2 linked regions of the Canis lupus familiaris genome follow. The protein of the gene in region 2 purifies or fractionates together with the protein of the main gene of each other region. This does not show direct contact. Links are inferred from orthologs where the notes say so. Each region holds a gene or a part of one and is shown on either strand. Other genes may lie near its edges.

Region 1 (3,743 bases), on a different chromosome or scaffold from region 2:
GTTTGGCGCCTGCCTTCGGCCCAGGGTGTGACCCTGGACACCCGGGATCGAGTCCCGCATCGGGATCCCTGCGTGGAGCCTGCTTCTCCCTCCGCCTGTGTCTCTGCCTCTCTCTCTGTGACTATCATAAATAAATAAAAATCTTTAAAAAAAGAAAAGGAGGAAAGAAGAACCAAATGAGAAGCAACATCCTAAGCTTCAAAACTCCTTTGTGCCCGCCTTTTTACCAAGTTTCACTAGGTGCTAACCGGAGAGTGGGCTGTGTTATTTTCACATGATAGATGGTGATCACTCCTGCATGTATATAAATTACGTTAAAGAAAAAAAAATCTTAATCGAGTTTAAGTGGCTTTTTTTTTTTTTTTTTTGGCTTGATCATCCGGATTCGAGCCATTTTCGAACCAAAGTCCACAAACACTGAACGCAAGGAAAATTTCCTTTGTGCCTCGTAATTTGGGATGATTGCACCGCCCCTTACTAAAAGGGATTCATCCCGAAAGCACGTGTCCCTGAGACTGGACGCGTGGCGCTAAGCAAGCCTCCAGGAAGGTCAAGCGTGGACCTCACGCAGCGGAAACGAACGCAAGGAGGGAGAAGACGCTGCAAAAGCCTCCAGGAATGTTGTTGAGCGTGGACATCATGCAATGCAAACGAACGCAAGAGGGAAGAAAACGCTGCAAAACGCTCCAGGAAGGTCAAGCGTGGACGTCACGCAGCGGAAACGGACGCAAGGGGGGAGAAGACGGGGCACGCGGAGAGGCTCGGGGCCGCCCGGGCCGCGGGGCCGGCGCGCGGGAGCCCACTTGCCCAGACGCCGCCCCCCTCCTGCTATTTACACGCAAACCCTTGCACATTCGTAAAACGCCGCGGCGTCCGGGGCCGCCTCCGAAGGCCTCGCCCGTCTACACCCGGGACGGCGCTCGGACGGGATCGAAGAGACGGGGGGCGGGCTCTCGTGCGTTCGGGCCCCGCTCCGTACGCGCGCCGGGGCCGGCGGGGCGCGGGAGGGAGGGAGGCGGCGGGAGCGCGGCGGCGTCACAAAGCCGAAGCCGGGGCGCCCCGGGCAGAGGCGGGAGCGGGAGGCGGGAGCGGGAGGCGCGAGCGCTCGCCTCCCCCTGCGCTCGCCCGCCCCGCCCCCTCCCCTCCCCTCCCTACCCCCCGCCCGGCCGGGGCGCCGCAAAGCGTCCTGGGAGAGCCGGCCCGCGCCGGAAGGACGCGCGGGCGCTCGGCGGCGGCGAGGTTATAAAAGGGAAGGAGCCGGCGGCGGGCGGAAGTGGGCGGTTCGGCGGCCGCGGGCGCTGTTGTGTGGCGTTCGGGCGTCGCGAGGGGCGTTCTCCGGAGGGCCGCGGTGCAGGCCGCGCTGACAGGGCCGCTCGCCGCCCGCGCGCACCCGCCTCTCTTCCCGGCGCAGCGTCTGCTCGCGGCCTCCGCGCCCCGCAGGCCCAACATGGCGCAGGAGGTGTCGGAGTACCTGAGCCAGAACCCGCGGGCGGCCGCCTGGGTGGAGGCGCTGCGCTGCGACGGCGAGACTGACAAACACTGGCGCCACCGCCGGGAGTTCCTGCTCCGCAACGCCGGGGGCCTGGCCCCGACCGGGCCTGACGCGGAGGCAGCTGCCGACGCCGAGAGCGGGAGCCGCCATCGGCAGCTGCAGCAGCTCGTCTCCTTCTCCATGGCCTGGGCGAACCACGTCTTTCTCGGGTGCCGGTGAGTGAGGAAGCGCCCCTGCCCGGCCCTCCCGGTTGTGTCAGCCGCCGCCAGGCCTCAGCGGCGAGGGGAAGGCGGGAAGCGCGGGAAGCCGCGGGACGGGCCGCCCTCTGAGGCCGAGCGGGGCGCCTCAGCCAGAAGCCGCGGCGGCAACAGCCGGCCCCGCGCTGGGCGGGGGGTGGGGGGCGGGGGGCGGGGGGGAGGCCGCTGGGGGCTCGGCCGGCCGCGCGCTCGGGGAGCACCCCGCCCCCCTGCCCCTGGGGCGTGGGTTTCTGGGGTTGCAGGAAACCGAAAGTTCCTGGCGGCTCGTACACTTTTCTTGATCACAACCAGGAAATGCAGTTCCTGTGGCCTGTTTCTGTTTGTTTGTTTGTTTTTGCACACCCAGAGTGGTAGCTTGGGGAAAAAACACTTTTTAAAAGCGTCTTTTTGTTTTTTTTGTTTTTTGTTTTGTTTTTCCTCCTTCAGGTACCCACAAAAAGTTATGGATAAAATACTTAGTATGGCTGAAGGCATCAAAGTGACAGATGCTCCAATCCATACAACAAGAGACGAACTGGTTGCCAAGGTGAAGAAAAGAGGGATATCGAGTAGCAATGGTTAGCAGATCATAGATGTGAACATACATAGGAGTTTAGAACATAAGTTTGATATAATTAGGAATTGTATAATTAATTTTTTTTAACAAGCTAGAATGTATACGATGTTATTAATCAAGTTGGAATGTTAAAGCCTCAATTGTGTGTGTGTGTGTGTGTGTGTGTGTGTTTCAGGCACTGGTTTTGATAGTTAACTTTGACCGCGTTAGATTTCAAGTGTCGAATGTCTATGCCGTTGATTTTGTTTAATATCAGAAATTAAATTCTATTATTCAACACTGTTGTAAGAAATTAATGAAGTTATTCCGCATTTTCTTTCTTAAAGAAATTACTAGTCCTGATTTTTTTTTTTTTTTTTTTTTTGGACTTCTGTCTTTCTTTTGACAAGTATCTGTCTTGTAAATTTTCAGGTGATGCATACGAGCTAGACTTAGTCACATATCTGTTTTCCTTCTTTTTAGAAGGGGTAGAAGAGCCAGCGAAGAAACGACTCCTAGAAGGAAGAAACAATTCTGCAGTTGAGCAAGAGCATGCAAAACTTTCTGCCAAAACAGAACGTGCATCAGCTCAGCAGGAAAACAGCTCAACATGTACGGGGTCATCTGTGAAGCCAGAAAGTGGGAACGCCACTCGAAGCTCTGGCACCTCGAGTCAGAATAGCTCTACAGGTGATGGAGATCGATCTCTTTCCAGCCAAAATAGTAGCAGCATTTCCTCTCAGGTAACAGCGGCAGGGTCTGGAAAAGCTTTGGAATCAGAAGCTCCAGATAAACATGGTTCAGCCTCCATTGTTTCTTCGTTGTTGAAATCCAGTGTGAATAGTCACATGACCCAATCTACTGATTCCAGACAACAAAGTGGATCACCTAAAAAGAGTGCTTTGGAAGGTTCTTCAGTCTCAGCTTCTCAAAGTATCTCGGAGATTGAGGTGCCCTTGTTGGGCTCCTCTGGAAGCTCAGAAGGAGAGCTGCCACTGTTGTCTTCCAAGCCTAGTTCAGAGACAGCTTCAGGTGGGTTAACTTCCAAAACTAGTTCAGAGGCAAGTGTTTCTTCATCTGTTTCTAAAAATACTTCCTCATCAGGCACATCCCTACTAACTCCCAAGAGCAGCACATCGACAAGTACATCTCTGCTGACTTCCAAAAGCACTTCGCAGGTAGCTGCATCACTGTTAGCTTCCAAGAGCAGCTCCCAGACCAGCGGATCTCTGGTTTCCAAAAGCACTTCCTTAGCAAGTGTGTCCCAGCTGGCTTCTAAGAGTAGTTCTCAGACTAGCACATCACAGTTGCCTTCTAAAAGTACTTCACAGTCAAGTGAGAGTTCTGTCAAATTTTCTTGTTGCAAGTTAACCAATGAAGATGTGAAACAGAAACAGCCGTTTTTCAACAGACTGTATAAGACGGTGGCGTGGAAGTTGGTAGCTGTTGGTGGCTTTAG
Region 2 (3,743 bases):
TGGTTCAATATTCCTGCTAATTTCCGATACTTCTAAATTCTCCTCATTTCTGCTCCATGAGCTCTTGCTCTCCTCATTTCTTGCACCATGGGGAAGGCCATTAAGTAATGGCCCAAGTCACCCAGCTTCCTGTAAGAACATAACACCTCCCAAGGAGACCAAATACTTGAGGAGGAACCGTTTCCAGGAGAAATGAGGGGTTTTTACCCCAGACACTAATAGTTTCAGCTGTCCTTAGGTTAACTATGGGATAACCGTTTCTCTAATTTCGACACCAAGTTTAAACAAAATGGCATCAGATGACAGAGGAGGGGGGCAATGCATATTGCATGCCAGGTGGCAAGGAGAAATACTTTCAGAGGCCTCTTGAGGTGAGCCTTTAGGATTGAGTGTGATTTGTCAAGCCCAGAGGGGATTCCAGGAAAAGAGGCTTCCAAGCTTGAGCAAATGGACATAAGTACCTCCTCTTTCAGACCTCTCTTTTTACGCTCTGGAAAAATCTATTTGAAGCCACCACAAAACAAAGGATAAAAGTATCCTGTTAGTGCAAGGATAGAGGATTCAGTGATCTTTAGTTGGACTGAAACACAAGCTGCGCGAATAAACAAGTGACTAAATCCCCCTAGAACCCGACTTTCTCATCTGTTACATCAAGATGTAATCGCACCTTAAGGCTCGAGCGACGATTAAATGAGACAATCCCTTACCCAGTGCTTTCGCGCACCGTAAACGCCCAGCCAACTGGGTACCAGCAATTATAAATGTAGCCGGAAAACTGAATTAAACGCTAAACGCCGGCTAGGTTCTATTTCTTCAGTATGGAGAGTGAACTCGTGTGCGACCAAATACCGTGGGAGCAAAATATCTAATGTGCTCCTTTTAACAGTCCAGGTACATACAGTGTCACAAAACCGAGAGGACCGAGGAAGCAGAAACAACGAGCGGGGTTAGACGCTCTGGTTTTGGGAACTGCGCCCGGCGAGACACAGGTGATGCACCCCGCCCAGGGCTCCGCGGAAAACTGCTGGGCGCAGCACTGCGCAACCTAGGGGAGCCGCGGCGAGGAACCGCGCGGGGCCGCACCACTCAGACGCGCCGGGGCGCGGACTGGGCCGGACCCCGCACGCCGCGGGCCGCCCACCCCGCCGGCGGCCGAGCCCCGCCCCCGGGAGGTCACCGACCGCGACGGCGTGGGCGTGACGTCACTTCCTGTCGCCGGCGCGCACGTGGGAGGAAGTGCCGGTGCCCGCGGCCCGCCGCTCCCGCTTGTCTCTCCGGTTACGTTCGTCCGCCGGCCGGGCCGCCGCCTCCAACTGGGCAGCTGCAATGGGAGTCCCGGCTTTCTTTCGGTGGCTCAGCCGCAAGTACCCGTCCATCATTGTCAACTGCGTGGAAGAGAAGGTGAGGAGGCGCCTGACGGTCTCCCGGCCGCGGCCTGGCGCTCCGGCGCGTCTAGGCCGCGGCCCTCGGCGCTCACCGCCTGCCCGGAGGGCATCGCGCGGGGTCCGTCGCCGCCCGCTCGGCCCCGCGGGCTGGGGTGGCCCGACCCACTGCTGGGCGGCGGTACACGGAGTCGGGGCCGGGAAAAGCGGGCGGGGCGAGGGCCTACCCGGTACCAACTCACTTGAGGGCTGTACCTCCCTTGCCCGCTTTTTCCGGGACCAGAAGGCCCCGCCCACGGCTTTGTTTCCTCCAGGCCCCGCGCGGTCGGGTTTCGGGAGACTTAAGTCTGCGGAGCTCCTCCCGGCCGCTCCGCTGACTTGGCCGAATTAGGGTTGCAGGGGCTGATCCTGGCCCTTAACAGCCTTGAAAGCAGTATCCGGCGGCGAGCTTCGCGTTGTTGCCTGTCCGTGCCGGAGGGGTTTTCTCCCAGTGTGAGAGGCCGTTTCTTGCTGTAGTTAACATCTTACGGCGAAAGCAGCCCCGCAGAAACGTCTAGGACGAGAGAAGTCGGGGTGCCCTGCTGTCGGACAGCCTGCTTGCTAAAATGTGCGGAATTCCTGGATGCACTCTAAGAATACACTTTCTGTTGTTAATGCACGTGTAGACTTTTGCCCATTCTTCGGTTTTGCATTTATCGCTTCCGTGTTTCCAATCCGAGTTCGGCTTTGTACTCTTAGTTATTAGAATTTTCGGATTGTGAAGGTTCGAGCGCATATCCTGCCTCCCACACCTTTGTTTTTGAAGGAAGTACCCAGCCGTCACTGTGAAAACTTGGTTCTTTTGTTAAAGCTGGTGAGATTTTGATTTTTGCTTATTTGCTATACAAGGAGGAATCGAAAGCCTTGTGATGGCATTCCCAGTATTCCTTGTGCTTTTAATAAAGAGAAACTATTTATCTGAATGCTCATTTCTTTTGTTTTTGAAAACATATCAGACTTTATTACATCTTGTAATAATAATGAGATCTTATATCTCATTTCCATTTTTACTTTCTAGTGATAACCACTTCTGTTTTGTTTCTGTCTCTGAATATCATGTTTATACCTGATTTACTGGTTTTGGATCTAGCTATGGAATTCCAGCTATGATAGAAGAGGATTTAGTCACTTATGCAACCCTCCCCCCCATCCTCCTAATAATAGTACATCACTATCTTTATTTCTTCGAAGGGTAAAATTGGTAAGATGCCTTTTATTTTTTATTGTATCTCCTATATAAAGAATCCCTGACTTTTCACTGTCAAAGCTTAGGTATTAGCTTTTCTACTCCAGCTGCGGTTACTCTTCACCCAACTTGTCAGCTACACTTTTCCCTTGTTGGCATCAAAAATTAAATTGTCAGGCACAGTGTTGGTGACACTGGTTCGTTTTAAAAGCCAAAAAATTTAGGGGCATCTGGGTGGCTCAGTCAGTTAAGTGTCTGATTTTGGCTCAGGTCGTGATCATGGGGGCCTGGGATCGAGCCCTGCGTGAAGATCCATACTCTTCAAGGAGTCTGCTTGTCCCTCTGCCCTTTCCTCCACTTGTAATGTCTGTCTCTCTCGCTCCCTAATAAATAAAATCTTAAAAAAAAAAAAAAAAAAAAACAGAAAAAAATCAAATGATATTCTCAGTTATCGTTACAATTCTGATTCATGTTATGTGCTACTTTTGTCTTTTTCTTAGTGTTGGTGTTCTCTTCCACTTTACATGGTTCCCCATCCAAACTCCCTGTTGTCTCAGGTATTCTATCAAGTCTACTTTCACCTTGGAGACTGCTTCTTGAAGTTTTTTTTTTTTTTTTCTGTTGCTGTCAAACCTGGTTATTTAGGCTTGCTGAAAAGCTGCTGCTTGAGGTTTCTAACAATTCTTTCCGTTCAGTTGGATGGACTGTGATCATTTTTTTTTTTTTTTTTTGGCTTAATCCTTGGTTTTTACTTTCAGAGGAGTTTTTAAGAAGTGCTATGTGGGATGTGAGCTTTCTGGGTCCGTTCTAGCCTTGTAAACATGAATGATCATTAGGTAAGCGTAGTTTGAGTTTGAAAATACATTTAACCAACACGCTTATTTAGTGTTGAACATGTACCAAGTATTGTTCTATGCTTTCATTTCTTTAGAGAAAATACCTAGGAGTGAAGTGATTGAATTGTATGGTAGGTGTGTGGTTATTTCAGCAGGAAAGCTTGCCAGACTGTTTTCCCAAGTGGTTGTACAATTTTACATTGCCACTAGTAGTTTACCAGAGTTCTAGTTGCTCTGTTTCCTTGTCAACACCTGGTATGGTTAATATTTTCAGTTTTAGTCCTTCTAATATAGTTTTAT

What was found.
Region 1: the proteins of XRN2 (region 2) and CDKN2AIP purify together in Homo sapiens (affinity purification with mass spectrometry; 4 studies listed by BioGRID and IntAct, with this or other methods). This does not show direct contact. The link is inferred for Canis lupus familiaris from reciprocal best matches to the Homo sapiens genes XRN2 and CDKN2AIP.

What each region holds. Positions count from the first base shown.
Region 1 is NC_049237.1:47,835,975-47,839,717, reverse strand, and holds the start of CDKN2AIP (CDKN2A-interacting protein), read left to right. Parts: upstream 1-1,346; 5' UTR 1,347-1,447; coding exon 1,448-1,707; intron 1,708-2,175; coding exon 2,176-2,306; intron 2,307-2,767; coding exon 2,768-3,743. UniProt on the Homo sapiens protein: Regulates DNA damage response in a dose-dependent manner through a number of signaling pathways involved in cell proliferation, apoptosis and senescence.
Region 2 is NC_049245.1:2,510,947-2,514,689, reverse strand, and holds the start of XRN2 (5'-3' exoribonuclease 2), read left to right. Parts: upstream 1-1,216; 5' UTR 1,217-1,326; coding exon 1,327-1,401; intron 1,402-3,743. UniProt on the Homo sapiens protein: Possesses 5'->3' exoribonuclease activity. May promote the termination of transcription by RNA polymerase II.